4 linked regions of the Caenorhabditis elegans genome follow. The protein of the gene in region 3 purifies or fractionates together with the protein of the main gene of each other region. This does not show direct contact. Each region holds a gene or a part of one and is shown on either strand. Other genes may lie near its edges. The genes, in order: pptr-1, mip-1, meg-3 and mip-2.

The links.
Region 1: the proteins of meg-3 (region 3) and pptr-1 purify together in Caenorhabditis elegans (affinity purification with western blotting; 2 studies listed by BioGRID, with this or other methods). This does not show direct contact.
Region 2: the proteins of meg-3 (region 3) and mip-1 purify together in Caenorhabditis elegans (affinity purification with western blotting; one study listed by BioGRID). This does not show direct contact.
Region 4: the proteins of meg-3 (region 3) and mip-2 purify together in Caenorhabditis elegans (affinity purification with western blotting; one study listed by BioGRID). This does not show direct contact.

The regions. Positions count from the first base shown.
Region 1 is NC_003283.11:16,355,700-16,360,561, reverse strand, and holds the start of pptr-1 (Serine/threonine-protein phosphatase 2A regulatory subunit pptr-1), read right to left. Parts: upstream 3,042-4,862; 5' UTR 2,911-3,041; coding exon 2,750-2,910; intron 2,700-2,749; coding exon 2,629-2,699; intron 1,725-2,628; coding exon 1,426-1,724; intron 457-1,425; coding exon 233-456; intron 1-232. UniProt on the Caenorhabditis elegans protein: Probable regulatory subunit of serine/threonine-protein phosphatase let-92 which negatively regulates the insulin receptor signaling cascade composed of daf-2, age-1, akt-1, akt-2 and sgk-1 by promoting the dephosphorylation of akt-1 on 'Thr-350'.
Region 2 is NC_003281.10:4,791,384-4,795,942, forward strand, and holds mip-1 (HTH OST-type domain-containing protein), read left to right. Parts: upstream 1-1,702; 5' UTR 1,703-1,722; coding exon 1,723-1,841; intron 1,842-1,891; coding exon 1,892-2,011; intron 2,012-2,066; coding exon 2,067-2,271; intron 2,272-2,324; coding exon 2,325-2,651; intron 2,652-2,701; coding exon 2,702-3,038; intron 3,039-3,085; coding exon 3,086-3,190; intron 3,191-3,240; coding exon 3,241-3,491; intron 3,492-3,690; coding exon 3,691-3,897; 3' UTR 3,898-4,040; downstream 4,041-4,559. Other genes in the region: Protein mel-28, read left to right, coding at 15-326, 403-630, 676-813, 863-901.
Region 3 is NC_003284.9:1,985,939-1,991,402, forward strand, and holds meg-3 (uncharacterized protein), read right to left. Parts: upstream 3,670-5,464; 5' UTR 3,668-3,669; coding exon 3,610-3,667; intron 3,565-3,609; coding exon 2,043-3,564; intron 1,997-2,042; coding exon 1,886-1,996; intron 1,840-1,885; coding exon 1,693-1,839; intron 1,645-1,692; coding exon 1,510-1,644; intron 1,379-1,509; coding exon 1,089-1,378; intron 1,041-1,088; coding exon 715-1,040; 3' UTR 531-714; downstream 1-530. Other genes in the region: Y40A1A.2 (F-box domain-containing protein), read left to right, coding at 4,796-4,879, 4,932-5,008, 5,055-5,109.
Region 4 is NC_003283.11:13,668,832-13,673,956, forward strand, and holds mip-2 (HTH OST-type domain-containing protein), read right to left. Parts: upstream 3,128-5,125; 5' UTR 3,112-3,127; coding exon 2,987-3,111; exon of another isoform or gene 2,983-2,986; intron 2,940-2,982; coding exon 2,820-2,939; intron 2,767-2,819; coding exon 2,553-2,766; intron 2,505-2,552; coding exon 2,142-2,504; intron 2,095-2,141; coding exon 1,779-2,094; intron 1,734-1,778; coding exon 1,165-1,733; intron 1,122-1,164; coding exon 990-1,121; intron 943-989; coding exon 781-942; 3' UTR 522-780; downstream 1-521. Other genes in the region: DEAD-box ATP-dependent RNA helicase rde-12, read left to right, coding at 40-68; F58G11.4 (MFS domain-containing protein), read left to right, coding at 3,771-3,887, 4,505-4,615, 4,660-4,795, 5,060-5,125.

The sequences.
Region 1 (4,862 bases), on a different chromosome or scaffold from region 3:
AACACAAAAAACGCTATTTTACATAACTTTTCACAAGTTTTCGGTATTTTTCAAAGAAAAATCACAAATTTTCACCCAAAACACCACAAATATGACAATTTTAATATCAAAAATTGCAAAAATGGTCCAAATCCATGAATTTTTGCCGAAAATTGAGCTTTTCGTTGCAATTTTCTCATTTTTAAGCCATTTTTTAGCGATTTTTCAGCGAAAAAAAAAATCCAGTATTCACCTCAAAAACATATTATTGATATGTTTGCGAATAAAAGCCCGAAGGCCCAAAAATTTTCCGTAAATACGATGAAGAACCGTCTTCAAAAAGTCTCGTTCACGTGGATCCTCCGAATCGAATAAATCGAGCAGCTTGAGCACAAATCTCTGATCAATATACTTTTTACCGATTGAAGCTTGGAAATCTGGCGACTCAAGGAATCTCAGGAAGAGCTCGTAGACAAGCTGCAAAATTCGTTTTTTTTTTTTTGATTTTAGGGCAGTTTTTCCAATTTTCAGTGAATTTTTGCAGATTTCTGATGATTTTAAGCATCTTTTAGCTCCCAATTTGGCCAGAAAATGGCCTAAAAACTCAAATTTTGTCGACTTTTCTGAGTTTCAGGTGAAATTTGGCCATAGAAGACGGAATTTCATAACAAAATTCATTAAAAACCGCTCAAAATCTCGAAAAATTACATATTTTCAGCTGAAATTTCAAATTTTGCCAACTTTCCAGGTTTCACAGCGGTCGGAAATTGAGAAATTGGCGATTTAGGCTGACATTCGACGAATTTTCAGCATTTTTTGATGGCCCGGAGCCATTTTGGGTATAATAGAGCAAAAATTGATTTTTTTAAATAGGGGTCTTTTGTAATAAAAATAATCAAAAATTGCTGAAAATTCCGAAAAATGGTCGAATTTCAGCCTAAATCGCCAATTTTTTAATTTCCGACCGTTGTGACACCGGGAAAGTTGGCAAAATTTGAGATTTCAGCTGAAAATGTCATTTTATGAGCTGTTGAGCGATTTTTAATGAATTTTGTTATAAAATTCCGTCTTTCGATGCCTTTCTCGGTCCAAAAAGTGGCCAAATGCCATCTGTAACACGGAAAAGTTGAGAAAATCAGAGTTTTTAGGTCATTTTGTCAATATTTTTTGATGCACTGGGGCTATTTTTGGTATATTGGAGCAAAAAAACGCGGTTTTCTGCTATAATTTTCAGATTTTCGATGTTTTCAGGATGTATCGGGGTTTTTTTTTGCCAAAAGGAAAACTAATAATTTTCCAGTCGAAAAAGTCAATTTTTTGGACCAAAAATTAGTGAAAAATGCACTTTTTGCTCTATTTTTCTGAAAATTGCATTTTTTTTTCGATTTTTTTTTGTCATTTTTCGGCTTCCTGGAGCCATTTTCGGGTTTTTCTTGCATTTCCAACCTGTAAATGTGGCCACGAGACTTCTAAAGTCGGTTCATCCTCTTCTGGATCAAATTCACAATTTTCTGATGGTGGAAGTACACGGAATATATTCTTGGCAACCATTTTAATGACAGCCGGATAAATTGTCTCAACAATTGCTCCTTTTGTCGATGTAATGTGATCGATGAGCTCATTTAGAGCTGCTCTTTTGATTTCTTTGCATTTCAGTTGAGCTACTGGATCATAGAAATCGAATACGTGCTGACATTGGACGAGCTTTTCGATAACGAGAGCCGGTTGCTCATTTGCAGCAGTATCTGGAAAAATTGAAGTTTTTAAAGATTTTTAGCGGTAAAATTGATTTAAAAGGCTCAAAATAAATTCAAATTTCGATAAAAATGGCGAAAATCTCAAATTTTGCAGCAGCAATTGAATTTCTTTTAAAAAATTGATGATTTAGGCCTTTTTTCGGGGTTTTAGCAGGGATTTTCGGCAAATTTTCACTGAAAAACCCGACAATTTCGGCTCAAAAAAAAACCGACAATTTCGGCTCAAATATTCTGAAAAAAGGCTAAATTTGAAATCGGCAATTTTTGCAGATTTTAGAGATTTCAGACGGCGTTTTTCAGAATTTTAGTTCAAAATTTGGCTCAAAAAGACCAAATTTTCTTAGTTTTGGGTTCAAAATTATCCGATTTGTCAAAAAATCTTTTAAAAAAAAGACTAAAAACTCCATTTTTACGAATTTGCAGCGACCGAAAATCGATTTTCATCGAAATATTCCTTTATTTTGAAGATTTTCGCGATTTCTAACGCGTTTTCCCGTCGATGTAGGTAAATTTTCACGAAATAATGTAAAAATACAACATAAAAAAGTTGATTTACTTGAAAATAGTGTAAGTTTTCGTTAAAAACTTTAAAAAGAATCACAAATTTTGTATAAAAGTCGAAATTCACACTTTTGGGACAATTTCCGACAATTGTAGGCTATTTTCCAACTTTTCAACGAAAATTATCCTAATTTTCAGGCCAATCGAGCATTTTTCAACATTTTTTCACTAAAATTAGCATTTTTGGACATTTTCCCTGAATATTTGCCTGGAATCGACTGAAAACTGCCAAAATCTGCGGCAGGGTGGCAAAATGCGAGTTTTTCGCTATTTTTTACTCAATTCTTCGAAATTTTTTCGGTTTTTCATCTAGAAAATCCAAAAAAATCACCTTTGATGAGCGCCAATTGTACGAGTTCTTGAGCCGAATCAACATTATATCGGCTGCTGTTGTTGATGCGCCTGAAAATATCGGGAAAAATCGATAAAAATAAATTAAACCAGCCACTCACAATCGTCTAGAAGTTCCTCTTTTATTATGGAACGGATCGATTTTATCAACAAATTGATTAGCTGTCGCCGAGAGTTGTTGGCCACCGGTGGCGGCTCCCTGTGTCCGTGGCGGCGGAATTTGATGCGGAGCGCCCGTTAGACTGTGCCCGCTTCCGTGCATTTTTTTTTTTGATTAAAAGAATTTATCTTCTTCAACGTCTTCTCGCCCTGGTTGTGTTCGAGCGAAGTGTTGAAACTTCGTGTAGGAGGGAGCAGAGAAGCAGACGGCGAGAGAGAGATTTCTGGGCGCTTCTGCAAAATGTATATATATATATATTGATTTTTTATTGCGAGAGAGTGAGAGAGAGAGGGTTTTTATTAACGCGGAATGGTGTAAAAGAGATAGGCAGTGGTTATCGAAATTATGATAAGAAGAGAGTGAAAGTAAATGGCAATGTAGGTCGACAAGTGATCAGATTCGGGAATAAAATGTATTGAAATGGGTTTTATTTAATTTTATTCAATTTTTAACCGAAAAAAACGCAGGAAAAACGCTCAAATTGTAGACAAAACATCGATTTAACGTAAAAAACAAATTAAAAAACGAGAAAATCTCCGATTTACATTGGAGCGCACTTACTGATCGGTGGTTTGCCGCGTTTTTTCTAGTTTTTAAAGCTTCCTTGTGGTAAAAATTTGCAAAAATGCCTTCATTAAATGAACAAAGCAATGGGCAATGGGGCCAATACACAGAAAAAGTGAAATTTTGAGAACTATCACAAAATTGATTAAAAAAACCATTTAACAAGAAAAACTAGATTCAAATTCCCGCTCCGCAAATTTATCAATGGAGCACGCTTGCGAATTTGTTTTTTATTTGTTTTTTTAGATGGAAAAACTGAATTTCGTCGAAATTTAGTTGAAGTTTCAGAGTTTTCAGCGTAAAAACTGCTTTAAAAATTAAAAAAAAATAAAACAACCGAAAATTCTGTATTTCTTGCTGGTTTGCTCACTTTTAGCGATAACCGCGGGGAAAATTGATAAATTTTGAGAGAGGAGTGACAGTTTTTGCTGGTGTAAAAATGTGCCAAAATAAACGAATTTCGTTTAATTTTACCTATGGCGGTTGAAAATATCGATAAAACTGGGCATTTTTATCTAAAATCCAGCTGGAAAACTAGCTTTGCCAATTTTTCGTGTCGGAAAAAATTTTAATTTCCTACCGCTACGACATATAAATTTTTGGAAAAATCGAAAATTTTGTCTAATTTTTAAAAATTATCAAGTTTTTTCGAAATTTTGAACTTCGAGGTCTGAATTAAAAAAAAGAAGCCTCCATAAAAAATTTCGGGAAATTTAAGAGTAGTCTCATTACAAAATTCGTTTATTTGAGCGCATTTTGAGTCTAAAAAAGCAAAATCCTTTAATTTTTCATGCGCATGACCTACGCAGTTCGCGCATAAATTATATTTTATTCCCTACAAAAAACACGAACAATGTTCCAAATCGCTTAATAAATTCAGTGAAAAAGTTGAAAAAAAGAGACAAAAAACTCTCGCTCTCACACGAGGTATAAACGTCAACGTTTTGTTGTCTTCTCTCACTCTGCCCAGCCACAGAGAGAGTTAGTTGATCGAGAGAAAAAAGACAATCTCTCACCCGATGAGCGCCGTTTGTGAGCGGCGCGAGCAGAGTTCGTGTGCATTCCGGAGTGCACAGTGATGCAGACACTGAGAAGACGTCGAGAGACGCAGACACGTCGTGCGCACTCGCGCACGCATTTGCACACGGAAAGGCCGGAGAGTGTGGGAGACCGAGAGAGAGAGAGAGAGAAGTAAAGGAATAATATACGCACACAGGCCATCACAGGCCACTGGAGACGACGGAGACGTGAAGAAAATGAAGAGGAGGGGCAGTTTATGGGGGTGGAAGTAAATACGGGGAGAAAAAGTGAGAATTTGCACAACTTTCAGATGAATAGAAAAAGCTTAATTAAAACGCAAACTTCTGAAACTTTTACCTAAAGGCGCAGAGGCTTAGTGGGATGGGTCTCGCCGCGAAAGCAAAGTTTATAGTAGCACTGATATCTAAAAAATGGAAGAAATTACACAAAAAATTAGCCGAGAAATAATT
Region 2 (4,559 bases), on a different chromosome or scaffold from region 3:
TCGAACATTTTCAGCGCGGTAAAAAATCGATCATCCAAAAGATGCCATCCCCGCTAGAGGTTACAATGGAAGTTCAAGAAGAAGAAGAAGAAGAAGCGGAGGAGGAACGGCCTGCATCAAGAAGCACTCGCTCTGCATCTGTCAAAAATACAACTGTTGACCCATCGTCATCTGCACTTGCTTCTACCAAACGTACAACTTCTAGAAAGAGGGGCAATTCGGAAACGATCGACTTTAATCAGGACGACAAATCGGCACCGACGACGCCAAAAAGAGGAAGACCCGCCAAAAAGGATGCAGGATCTCCTAAAGTTGGAAGTAAAGCTGTAAGCATTTTTAATTATTTTTTTGAATTAAAAATGTTGTATTCATAAATTGTAAATTGATTTGTTTTCGTTTCAGCGTGGCACCAAGCCTAAATCGATATTCGAAAATCAAGAAGATGAAGAAGATCGTTCATCCTCTCCAGATATCGAACAACCAGCCACACCTACACGGTCTTCCAAACGAACGGCTAGATCCAGAGCAAATTCCGAATCGATCGATGATGATAGCAAGCAGAAGACCCCAAAAAAGAAAAATGCCGCGGTTAATGAAGCTGGTACCAGTAAACAGTCTAGAAGTGTGACGGTATGATCCCAAAACATAATTTTTTTTCAAAATTATTATTTTCAGAGATCTCGAGCATCATCTATTGATGTACAACAAGAGGTGGAAGAGCCAACCACTCCAAAACGCGGAAGAGGAAGACCGCCCAAAACCGTTCTGGAAAATATTGAAGAGGGTGAAGAAGAGAGAAAAGAAACGGCTGCGGTAATATTTTCAGCAATACGATTTCTCAAACGAGGTGTTTTATTTTCAGACTCCTCTACTGCGTTCAGCTCGCCGTGCTAAACAATAGAGGTCGAACACAGCTCAAATTTTAACTATTTGTCCTTATTTATTTTATTATTTGAAATTCTTCAACTGACACATGTGAAATAAGTTCCAATAAAATTGTTTGGCATTAACATTGAATTGGAAATAAAGCAATAAAGGTGCATAGAACGGAGAGTTCAGGATGGCGTTATAGTTTTTAAATTTCAAGCAACAAATTCGATAATTTAATTTTAACTGGAAAATGTGAACGATTGTTCCTAGCATGCGAAACAGGTGTTTATACCACATTTAAAAAATTTCCAAAACGAAGCTCTGCAGAATTTTTTCTAATTTCTCGTGGTAATGATGAATTATTATTTAATTTTGTTTTTTAATGCACCAATAAAACGTTTTTTCGTGTAGAAAAAAGACGGCATTGTTAAATATATTCTTCACTGCAAAAATCCAATTTTATAAAAACTAATTTAAATCTTTCGAAAGGTTACTGTAACAGTCATTTGCGTGTGCATTTCTACGCAATATGTGGCGCCAAAAGGCTTGTCCTAAAATTCGGCTACCCATTCTAAATAAAATGATTCTTCGCAGTTGTTCTCTGTTAACAGCTTGTTTTTTTTATGTTTTGATGATATTTTCATGTTAAAATAATAATTTTAACGTTGTTCATAGACGTTAGCATGTAAGGACGATCTTGACGTATTGTAAACATCTGTAAAATTAGTTATCCGTGCATCAGACTGGGTCTGAGTCTTTTTTACAATTTACTGTAACATTTTTGTATCTTTTTCACGTTAATACTTGATCAAATTGTAAAATGTTCTCTCAGAAGTGACATTCACTTGGCAAATGACGGAAGCTGACGATCCCAAGAAGAAAATACGCGCGCGCATCGAGCGCGACGTGTACAGTGTTCTGCTATCATTCCAGGAAGGAGCGACCCCAAATCAAGTAGAAAGGAGAATGGAGTTTGTGTTTCGCGGCATTATTTCTCAAATTTAATGTATTAACTATTTAGCGACACGCTTGGCTACACATATGTTGGAAAATATGTACAGGCTGGTGTGAGAGATATGGCTCAACTTCTGCGAGAGCACAAAGATGTACGACAAAATTTATCCGGAGTTTTCAGTGTTGTGTGAGAAATATATATTGCTCTTATTCGAGTCAAAACTCAATACATTCGTTTTCAGCGCAAATGAGGACAATCAAGACCTAATCAATCTGATCTCAAAGCAGAAGAAAAAAAAGAAAGGTGGAAAAGGTGCAAAGCCCATTCGTGCAGCTACGTCTATGGGATTCCATAATAAAAGTGGATTCGGATATGCAGCTCACTTGCGCTCACCGAAACCCTCATTTATGTATCCAGCTTCATCTGCCAGAGCGAACCCGGCAAAGGTTCAAATTGAAAAAAAAAAACTATGTTCAAGATTAACATAATAATATTGCAGCCACAAGCAACTGGGTATCGCAATACCGTTCGACACCCACCTGTCCGCCCTTCCACTGCAACTGGTCACTCTAGTTTCGCAAATAGATCAGCTTATTCACATCATACAACGAGAAGCACCACTGTTGGTCCGGTCAAAATTGCTCCTAGTGCGACTGCTCAGCGTCCTCTTTTACGTCAACCTGTAACCGTTGTTCAAAGACTGTCGTCTACAGTGGCTGTTCCAGTTTTGCAACCCGGGATTGACTCGAAGTGTATGCCTTCGATCGTTGATTTTTCGAACAACGTTAAGCGCATGATGCTTCTGGAATATCCTGCTGATGTCCATGTAAATTTTTTTCAACATTTGCAAATTGCAACTGATTTTTCATATTACAGCTCTCTGAATTGACCGAAATCTACGATAAGCATTTCGATGTATCAATTGATCCACTCCAGTTGTTTAGCAAGAGCTGGATGATGTTCGTGAAGACTTCATTCAAAGAATGGCTGCAACTCGGAACAGACGGTCGAGTTGAAGTGAAGGAACCCTGGTTCACAAATTTTGGAGCTGCGTTAAAGAAATCAATGCCACCTGCTCCTGAAAAGAAGAAACCAACGACACTGCATGAGCCCACTTCAAGTGTCGCATCATCGAGCTTACCGATTTCACAAGGATTTCGGTATCAAATACCAGTTGTTCGTCCGATAGTGTCTGTCGCAGAAAGTATGAAAGGTATTTACATTTGAAAATAATTAGTAGATTGTAATATTTTATTTTAGGACTCACAGTGAGTGCCCGTAGCGTAATGGGAACTCCAAAAGATCTTCCTGGTGTGTCTAACCCGATTAAAAACACAGCTCGGGGAAGTAATAAGCCTCGAAATGGTAAATCCAGAAGTTTCCATTAAAAAAAACTAATAATTTTTATTCATCAGATCTGGCATCTTCGAAAGCGAGTAAGGATCTTGTTGTTCCTGTGATGAAAACTACGTGTATCAAATCACTTGAAGATACTTCTACCAGTAGTTCGAATCCTTCAACATTGCAATTATCTACTGCCTCTACCTCTGCAACAGATCAGAAACTGCCAAAAATGAGCTTTGGAAGACAGATAGAAAAAGGATCGTCGATTCCAGGGAGACATATATCTCTTGCTCTCACGGAAATTAAAAACCAAAAAGTTATTGTGAGTAATTTTCTTGCTAGATTCCATTAATTATAATATACCAAGTGCGGTATCGTTCCGTTTTCGGATCAAGACTAGCTTTTTGTTGTTTTATTGCTAAAATACTGCAATTTTTATGTTCATTAAAACAAAAACAATATTTTTAACTATGCTAGAAAATACCATGCCGACTGTGATGAATAAGCTAAATGAATTTCAGGCGGCTTCTATTGTTGGAAAGAGTGCCAAAACTTCTACAAAAGTGCCATCCACGACTAGAAGTGTAGTTCTCCCACCAATGTCAAAAGGACCAGGATTGGCACGTTCTCGTAACTTTTCACCACAACAATCGACTACATCTTCAATTGATAATGAGTGTCTAGAAGCTATCAATGCTGCGTTGCCGTCGGATAAGGATAGTTGGTGATCGAAATTTTACGTGCTTTAAAATATCCTGTTTATGTGTTTTTGTAAAATTATTTTTTAATTAGTTTTAATAGTAACATTGTTTTTTTTATATTTTGGATGCGAGTCATTCACGAATTTTACTATAAATTTTTTTTCCGGTGCATTCTATTCTTGTTTCGCATAATTAAGAAAAATGTGTTCTGAAACATGAAAAAATATTTGTTAGCTTAAATAGCGTGACCCCTTTAGATGCAAAATTGTAGAGTAGCTGTGAGAGCTCTTCCGACGGGCCACTCAAATAATTGAAAGCGAAATGCAGTTTCTCTTTTTCTCTTCCCCAATGCATTCAGTTTCCTATTTCTCTGCCATGTCAAGATTGGCATCAAACGATGTTCGAATATGGGGGAAAACTGGGGCGGTCGGCTTGTGCACACAGACAGACCCATAAAACATGAATTTATTATTCTACGCGCACGCAAAACGTGGCACTATAGAGACTAAGAAACTGCAGGAAATTCGTTTTGAAGATGAGATAACATCAACGAACGGTGTAAAACATAGAGACAAAAAGTGCTCTGGATAACGACGCGCTATATAAGATTGACCCTTAAGGGTAAAAGAATTCTTATCCAAAAATGTTCTCCAATATTGATTTTTAAGAGAATATTATATTTCTATGCT
Region 3 (5,464 bases):
TATCAATCTTTTAGATTTTTTGTGTGAAGCATCTCTGAATCAAGAGCATTCTTTGAACTTTAAATTTTACTTGATAACTAATGAGTCCTCCGAGAAAAACATGAAAAACCCTGAAGCGTGCCTACTTGTCCGCCATCGTTGGTGCGTTTCCGAAACTTGTGAAGGCCTGTAGCAATGCGGACGGTGATATTTTCGAATTCAAAAATGGTATCTTATTTAGTTTTTCTCGGAGAACAAAACCTATATGATTATTTGTTTAATGTGTTTTTTGTTTTGGTTTTATGAAGCTTCAAAGTAGTGCGCATAATTATGGCCCACCCTGTATTAAAAAACGGAACTTTTCCAAACAAATCTGAAGCATCTGTTTTAAAATTGAATCCGTGACTACTATTTTGCCTAATGACAGTATTTAAATTTCACAAAAAAGATCTATGAGAAGATATGTATATTTTCAAATCAGTTACCAATCATCTTTTCTTAAATCTATTTCGAACTTTTCTTTTATTCTAGTTCCACTCCAAATCTTAAAGAATCGGCAATTCTTTATCAATCATCCAGACAACAATATAATACTACCCTCTACAAGTATCTGGGTAGACATAATACAAATTCACAAGGAGAAGCGAGTTGAAATATAACAAGAGTGGATAAAGGGTTAATGAACAAGAATAACATACAATATAGTCTACAAGTAATAGATATAAATTGGTACAATCATTGATCTCTGGGTGGGTCAAAAATAGATTCCAGCCAATCCCGTTTTACATTCAAGTATTTGATAGGATCCGATTTCCGAAGATGTGCAAGTAAACACGCATCAGCAATTGCGATGATATTCTTCTGTCCGATACACTCCTTCCACAACATGTAGAGCATATTGGTGGAGTCTGTGGAGCTGCTCGTATCGTCCAGCCGAGCCTGAACAAACGTGGCAGCAATCTCTTGCATAACTGCAAGCTGGTGAGGATTTCCTAAGCAGGCTTCAGCAAAACGGAGGAACCATTTTCTGAACATATTTCGCACAGGTGGAACTCTTGGATCTGAAAAAATTAAAGTTTTCAAGATTAAATATGTCTTATCTTTCTTACCATCGGCATAAGGACCATCCAATCTTGGAATTGTCTCGGTGCAAAAATAATTCAAGTACAGCCATCTTTCAGGTGACATCCCGTGAATATTCAAATTCACTTTCAGGAGTTGTGTCTTTTCTTTGTAGTTAGTATCAATGTAGTCGTTAAAGTCTTGCTGAGCTTCCAGGAATGCTGTCAAGCTTTCAGAAATGCGAGGTGGTGGCGAGGTTGAAGCTGGATCTTGAGTGCAATCTTGAGAAGGATATTCGATCCGATCGGCTGATTCACAAGGAAGTGGAGCCGGATCACTGAAAGAAATTTACTGTACTCAGAAAATAATTTTACAGGATTTGAATCAAGTTTTGAGCTCAATCTTTTCAGCTTGTACATTATTTTCCATATGCTTGATCGATAGCGGATTTATTAACTTGGACCTTACCTGGTGATTTCGAAGGGCCATTTCCCAGCTTGATTGTATACTTCAGCTGCACGAATTTCACAATTGATTCCACTTCTCTTCGGAGTTGGGCAACCATTACAATCCGTGGAAACTGGAATTCCGGTAATGTAAGAGCTGGAAAAGAAAATATGGAAATGTTGTTCGTTTTTTGTAAAGTCATACCTTTCCAGCGCCACAACCTTTGGAGTCAACTTTTGAGCAATTCGCTTTCCTGAAGCTGTTTCTTTTCCAGAAACTGTGACGGAATACATTGGTGATTTTGTAGCTTTAGAATCAACCACGCCAAGTGACTTGTTCAACTTTGAAGACCTGTAAAAAATATAATGAAATAAGAAGCTCCAAGTGTAAAACTAACTTGCTGGATGATGTCAGACATCTTTCTCCGATCAAAGCCTTTGGAGTTGGGATGATTGACGAGGAAGGTGTTCTCTTTACATCCACATTGTTCCGATTGATCTGATCCTTGCTGAAATTTAAATTTTTACTAAAGATTTTACTATTTCACTACATACCTTGAGGAAGCACGATTTGCAGATTTCGGCATCTCAGGGTCCCCATGAAGTAAACGTCTCATTTCCTCAACGTTGGCATCAAAAGTTCCTGTCCACTTTCTTCTTGAGATCTTTGGAGGAGAACTCGGCTGTGGACTTGGCGTGGGTTCCTCGTCTTCTTCAACAGTTTCCAGTGTCACATCAAGACTGGCCAGACGGGAGGCACTACGAGAACTTCCACGGCGCTTGATCGACAGTGAAGTTTTCTTGGGAAGACTCACTGGTAGGGTTTGGTTGTTAGCATCCACAAAACTGGAGTCAAAGTCTTCACCAATTGAGCAATTTAGATCACTTGCTGGTAATGTCCGATTCAAATTGCTGCATTCTCCATGAGAGCTGGAAGGCAAGTGAATCTGTTGTCCGATCTTCATGCTGACAATTTCCAATAACTGTTCAATGGAGAGTTCAGTGCCGTCCTTGCTGAATACATTGGATACCAGGTTACGTTTAGCCGCTTCTTCAGAAGATTTGCATTTTTCAGTCAATTGTTTACTGCCTGCATTCTGCTTTGAATAAGTCGATTGTTGAAGTTTCTTAGTGACTGATCGAGATCTCCGACCACGGGCAGCATCCATGGAATCGTCTATGAACACATCGTCAGTTAATTCATCGTCATTTGTGTTGAAGTAAGTACGATCCTGGAAGTTGCTGCTACCACGTGATTTTTTTCTGTCGTTTCTTGATTTCTGTTGTTGATTTTTCATCGATGAGGTTTCATGTGTAGGAAATCCAGAGAAGCTCTGGTTCAAATTCCGCGACTTAATAGCATCGTGCTTTTGGACAAGACTAGAATTGATAACCTCCTTTCCAGATGCATTTTTATTGTCCTTATGGCCTTTTTTAAAAGCGTGTCCATGAACTCCAGCTTGAGCGTTGAAGCTTTTATTTCCAAGACATTGCTGGTGAACATTGGTTTGTCGCAGTTTCTTAGAATTATTTTCTTGCTTCTGGAACCCAACGGGAACGGAACTCACACTGAATGACTTATTCCCAGCGTGACCATAATTGTTCGAACCATCCGAGAAGCTTAGGCCATGTTGTCCATTCTGACGACTTCTACTACGTCTTGTGTTTGATTGCTGAACGTCGTCCTGATCTGTGGATACTGGGAATCTTCGTTCATACCAGCTGGAGCTATTGCGTGTTTGCAAGTTGCGGCGGAAGTCTGCAGAGAAGACGGGGGCCGTAGGAGGAATACTGTTAAAGGCGTTGCTGCCGTTTCCTTGAGCTGCATGCATCGACTGATTGAATACTCGACCATGTCGAGTCATCGAGTGATTCAGCTGTTGGCCATTCATGAATGTATTCCCGTTGAATGATACGGATCCGTGATGAGATATCCCCGATTTTGCACCATATTCACGGCTTGTTGACTGAGCACTGTCTTGTTTTGCGATCGGATTGAACAATTCGTCAAGAGTGATTTGGTGTTCCATGTTGTTGGATGCACTTTCCTGATTGCTACGACTACTTGAGCGGCGACCTGAATTTACAAATTGAATGAAAAATTGATGCAAAAAACTCTCACCTCCTCTTTTTCTTCTCGAGTTTGGCAGACCGCTTGGGTAAGGTTTTGAGGAACTCATACCTGCAAAAATCAAAACTTAATGAAATATTGAAATAAATGAAATTTAAAAAAATACAACGAAAAAGAAAGACAGAGATGAAAAAATGCAAACCGGTGGGACCACGCAACAAGAATGAACACTTGAGTTAGGGAGATTGAGAGAGTGTGAGAGGTAGAGAAAGAGCGCGCGGAAATAGTGTGTGGCGAGACGGACAGGGGCGATGCGTGCGCGCGGTGAAAAAATAGTTCAAATGCGGCAGGGAATCAACAAAACAACACACACCGTTTGCATGGTATCGATCAGTTTTCAAGACTATCCAAGACTATGGAGTTTTGAGGAACAATTGGATTGATAGTTAATTCTCTAAAATATTGGATAATCACTGAATAATAAATGAGAAGAATAAATTTATAAAAAGAAACAGGATAATAGGCAGTAAAGGAGATGTTAATTAGAAAACCTGTAAGCGAAAAATCAAAACTAAAATAATTTTTTATCTCAAACTTTTTAAAAGAAACGGCGGAACATAATCCTGAATTCCTGAAAACGAGATGTAAAGGGTCGTTAAAATAGCTCCAAAAACGGATTTGTGCAGAGTTTTGAAATTTTTTAAAATTATTTTAATATAGGAATACTAAGTACCTGGAAAGTAATAAAAACTGCTTTATATAGAACATTGAAATCTTTTGTTTTTTAACATAAATTTTAAAAAATGTTTGGATATCCCAAACTAATAAGGATTCTTAACATTATTAATTCATAAAAATATGAAAAAATGTCTATTCAAAGGATTTTTTTTGATCGAAGACTTCTAAAAAGTTACAAAAACTGAGAATCTTCAAGTAGAAATTTGGTATTCCTTGGGACTTCAGATTATTCATATTTTATTTTTCAAATTATTCTCGATGGTTTTTTAATTTAAAAAACAACTCATCGACATTGATGCTTTCAAACAGGATAGATCTAATGTTACTAATTTCCTGCTACTATAGCTACTGCTACATTGTGCACAATGTATGATGTCACACACTTGGAGGATTTATAACCACTTTCTATGTATCGATTATACCATTTAGACGCTCGCCTGCTCCGTTAGTCTGCTCAGTGTTTTTTTTTTTCGATTACATATTTGAGTTACCATTTGGTATGAGCTCCTTTATTTCACAACTCTCCTCATTTATTTGTCTGAGATTTTTTAAACGTCGAGGTATCAGGACCCCGTCAAACAAGGCAAGAACATATGTATTTTACAGTTTTTCGTTTAATTTTATTGATTTTTTAGATTCAACCCTTTCACCTACTTGGTTTACCGTATCCTGCATTTCGGAATATTATACATCAATTGAAGTTGACTGAAGTGTGAGTTGAAGTAGGTTTTAATTATCTAAATGTCTATTGTTTTCAGAATAGAACTATCAAAAAATTCTGGTGAAACCAGATGTAGATTTAAAAAAAATTAATCGAAAAATCTACAAACTTCTTATCGACAACCGTGTTTTCCATGTTGATCTACCACCATTCCGAAATCCTAGTGATTTATTTTCAAGCAAAGTGATTGCTATAGAGACTTCAGAAGACATGTATTATCCTTTTAAGTCTGGTAAACTACTGACTTTAAGATATCCAAACCTTTTTTCAATCAGCATTACCAACTTTTGCATCTCTACGTTTTGGTAATTTTTTGATTTTTCTGCTAGTTTTTTCTCAAACATGTGTGATTTGTTTAGTCTGAATGACCTTAAACATTTGAAAACTTTCAAAAAGTTTTTACCTAACCATGTTTTAACATTTCACGGTAGTTCAAAAATTTTAGAC
Region 4 (5,125 bases), on a different chromosome or scaffold from region 3:
TTCTATACGTTACTATTTTATATGAAACTTTCTTTTCAGCCGATGGCAACGACGACGACGAGTGGTAAAATCTACGCGACGTCGTCATTATTATTTGATCTCGAGAGATCTTTTGTTTAATAGAAACATTTCGAGACATCGCTTCACACCATTCTATCGTATTTTCGTAATTATCAATTCTGGCATGATCAATCAGTCAATTGAACATGGTGATTTATGTGATGTCTCGAAAATTTTCAAATTCACGACACCGCATTCTTTTATTTGTTTTGTAAATCTTCTGTTAAGTATTGTTTCCGATCCCGATATTTACTTACTCGTATTCCGTATTCCACCGTATCCCCGTACCTTATTTTGACTATCTATTTCTTTATGAATTTTGTATTCAGTACCTATTAAATACAGTTCTGAATTTTTTAACGGGGAATTTTGTTTAAAATAAATCTCAATGTTGGAAATGTAATTGTTTCAACTAGGGAGTACAAGAACAGCGTTATAAGTATTTAGAAGGAAGTATTCTTGAGAAAAATAATTTATTTTGGACGTTAAAGCGGAAAGTCAATTCTACATGATAATAAACCAAGGGACTTATTCTCCATTTAATTGTGAATAGAGAAAACGATACATTTAAAAATTTTTAAAAAGATTGTCGGCACTAGTATTTAGTGTGATAAAAACGAAAATAGCGAAAATGGTTCAAAATTCAGATATAAATACTAACGAAAAATATTCAAAAAAAACATAAATATTATAAAATACGTGTCAGGAGCACTGCTTCAACTACGCCTGGGAGATGTTCGGCGAGAAATCGGAGTTCAGCGACGGTGGAAACGAGGACGCTGACGAATGGCATAATACAACACGAGAACGAGGCCGTATTTTCACACCCGCTCCTTTTGACATTGGTGGCAGCAAGACGGTAAACGGTTTGGGTGGACTCTTCTGAAAATTTAATATATTAACAAGAGTTTTCTTCTTATATACTTTACCTCGACTTTCTGAACGACTTGAGCACCCCAGCCATCATCTGAAACATTGCTGGCTGCATGCGAAGAAGAGCCCATGCCGAGACGAGGTGAAGGTGAAGGTTCTGGCTGCTCATTGAAAGCTTCTTGCTCTACCTATAACAATATAAGTAAAATGAGAGAGGACAACAATTTATACCTGTTCTCGTTGTCTCCTAACTTCAGCGAGAGCCTGTCCAAGGGTTCTAACTGGAACCACTTTCTTGACACATTGATTAGGATTTACCCTGACACGTTGAAGGTTGATTGATGAACTTGGGCGCTGCACTTGAGCAACAACATTTAAGCTGGCACGGCTTGCCATATTTCTTTGGACTTCAAGATTTTGTTGCATCAGAGCTTTCGCACGTGCATCAATCATTTGTGGAAAAGCTTTCAGCGATGCATAAACATTGACTAACATGACATCAGTCTTCTTCAAAGCTTTGAGTTGCAGAAGCTCTTTTGAATCGTATTTCAGGCCTTCTTCGTTCAGCTTTTCCGGGACAACGGTTGAAGAAGAGGAAATTGAAAGGACTGATGGAACTGATTGTCGACCGAAGATACAAGAAGTGCTCTGCACTCTTTCAACGATAGAATCAGCTTTCACGGAGCTTGGAGCGTTGCCGAATCTCTTTGTGACAATTTCTCGGTGATTTTTTGGAATAAATGGCATCATGTCACTTTTGCTTGCTTCCTTTTTGCTCTTTCTGGCATTCAAAGTAAGACCTGAAAATATTCTTTGTTAAAATATAAGGAATTTTAATAACTCACCGTCCAGAGACTTAGAGATTGAAGCCAGGTCAGCTTTCGGCTTTGAGTTAGGATCCTGGTATCTAAACCCTTGTGATATTGGTAGCTGAGCAACAGTTGTAGCTTCAACTTTGCGAGAAGGCAACTCAAGCACCGATTTGGTTGTTGTTCCTTGATCAGCTAGCCACTTTTCCCTCAACGAAACTTCTCCATCAATAACTTGTAGAAACTCTTTGAATGTTGTCTTGGCCATAAGCATCCAGCTTTTGCTGAACAACAATAGTGGATCTACGGGTGCACCGAATTCCCTCTCATAGAGTTCTGTCATCTCGGAGAGCTGAAATTAAATACTTATACGAGAGTACAACTAAACTTTTAACTTACGTGAACAGAAGCTGGAAGCTCCTTCACCATCATACGCTTCGTATTATTCATGAACTCCGTGATGGTTGGCATATGAGACGAGCTTGAAGATGTTTTAATTTGCACATGCTTCTTGACAGGTGATCGACTTCCACTACGAAGAATGAAGATTGGAATCGAAGACGCAGTTGATGGGCGCATGAGAGGGCGCTGAATGGATGGAGCTACAGGCGGATTTGTTGGATTCGCATTTGAGCCACTCGACTTTCCAAACGTAGAATCATGATTTCCTGTTCCGAAGGATTGGATTGCCGAGGAAGTGGATGCTTTAGATGACGACAACACCGAGAAAGGACGAGAAGGTTGCCCGAAGTTTTGGAATAACTGAAAAATTCTCTTGACATTTAAATCTTTCTATACATCTTTTAGAACCTTTTTAGACGCTGCTTTTCCAAAGGAAGCATACGAACGAGGGCGACAACTGGAATATCGTGGCGATCTCGACAGCTCTCCTCCAAACATAGATCGTTGATGATATCCAGCAGAAGATGACGAACGTCTTCCTCTTTTTGAAGAACCTTTATTCCTAGGTCCGTCGCTCTGCTTCGAGATCAAATCCACAAGATCCTGATTGTCCTCGTTTGCGCTAAAATATTAGTTTTGACAGGTTAGAAACGCGAACGATAAATCGGAACGTACATGATCTTGAATTTTCCCTCGTAAGTTTGCCGTACATCCGGATGCTCGATCAGAATTTGAGCCATGTCGTAAACACCAGCCAAGTGATATTTCGAGCAGTAGTCATATCCTAATGTGTCGCTGAAAATTACAGTAAATTTAAATTCACACCACTCGGATCAACTAACTCCATTCTTTGCTCGACCTGCTTCGGTGAGGCTCCATCTTTGAAAGAAAGAAGAACACTATAAGCGTCCCGTTCGATGCGCTTACGCATTTTGTTCATTTTTTCTTTGCCTTCTTCTTCAGACATTTTTCAGGCAAATGCTGGAAACAGTAAAACAATCAGTTGAATGACTTTAAATATTCAGAAAACGGAAATCTGAAATAACGAATACAAAAAAATGATTTAAAACTTAAAAATGTCAAAATCGTGGCAGAAGTTTCTAGAAGTGAACACGAAAACAATCCACGTACTGCGCACACCGTTCCACGCACAAATGCACATTCAGGTCTCTACCGTAGTTCAGTCCAATTCGCAGGCCTGGAAAAATTTCAAAATGCGAATACATGTTGGTTGTTGAAATTTTTTTGGATTCGACTTATAAATTAGCTTCAGTAAATATAAAACTACTTTTTAAGATATTATTTTATAGAAGGCTCATCATATTTCGTATTGTGACTGCAGTTCACCGGAAAAGTACAAAACAAATCACTCCAACCGGTATGCGTCCACTCTGATAATATTATTGAGTTTTGTGTTGGAAAATTGATCTTTCTATCAAAATTATGTAAATCTCTTCCTCTTGTTTCTTCAAACATTTGTGGTCTTCCAACGACACATCTATTTTGCGGCATTCTCTATTTCAGCTGTCAGTTGACATTTTATTAGCATCTATTATATAAAAGTTCTTAATTTTAACTGTACATGAACGTTTTTTAATAGAATCTATATAAATTTTCAGTCAAAAAATGCGAATAATCATTGAGACTTCTTGGGATGTGGTATATCTTTGTGGATACTTTTCATTAGTTGTCTACTTTCAATATGCCATTTTTACCACTATTATGTATACTTATATGACAAAAGTATGTGAATATATATTTTTCAAAATTTTATCGGAAAATCAATTTTTAAAATGTTTTAATTAAAATAAAGTAATTCAGTATGTGCCAGAAAAATAAATATGACCAAGCTTGCAAGAAATGGGCGGATCCTTTTTTGAAGCATTTTGTAATAAAAATGTTGATTCTTGATTCGAAACGGGCTAGACGATGTCATGAATTTGCAAGGTTTTAGAAAAATATGAATAAAATCGCAGTGAAATCTTCAAAAAGAACTAGTTTTAGAACTGCCAACTGCCAAATGAGTTATTTTTAACTTAAAAATAGTGACTTTGAAGCACTATCTCAGCAGAATGGTTTGGAGTCTAATTAGAGAGAACCCTGTCTAATCTTAATTTTCCCCAGTCTAAATAGATGAAAATCGAGTCAAATTTGAAACACGCGAAAAGCGAATCTAATTAGAAGCGGGACGAGTCAAATTAGATAAAAACCCTGTTCGATTTAGGTTCGATTAGTTCTGCTCCGCATTCCGATTAGCTTCGCTTTTCACATAATTAGACTCCAAACCATTTATCTGAGATTAAAGTTCTTTATTTCTATAAGTACATTTCAAAGTTCTATAAAAATCCTCACAATTTCAGCTCGACCCATCAGTTGGTCCTACGTCATTTGGTTTGGCAGTGACTCTTCATGGAATTGGTCATTGCCTTGGAGCACTCGCAGCAGCATGGTGGACTAAAAAACGGTATAAGGTAAATACATTAAATAGTTAAAAAACTTTTAAACAAATGTTCAGGGCAAAAAACCAATGTGTGTTGGATATCTTTTAATGTTACTTTCCAATTGTCTATTCCTCTTGGCTGATCATGTTCCAGCAGAAACTAGTGCATTCTACATTATGTTGTGTAGATTTTTAGGTGGTCTTGGAATGGGTAAGTCGTTATGATTGCTTTATTTCTAATTCAAATAGTCTCATAGCAGCTATTTTTGTATTTTTGTAACTATTTCAAAGATTTCAAACGTGGTTTTAATATTTCATTTAGCAAAATTCACACATCAAGCTTGGGTCGAATCAGAAAAAGTAAAGTGGTTCCACATTAGAAATGATAAATTGATATTCAAATTTAAAAAAAAGTATTGAACTCGCCGACTACTCCGAAAAGTAAATATATCTAGCTAATTCTCAAATTCTCTAGGAAATACGTCAACTTTACGTACAACCCTAACTGCTCATTCAATGTCCGATGATCGTGCAAAAGCAA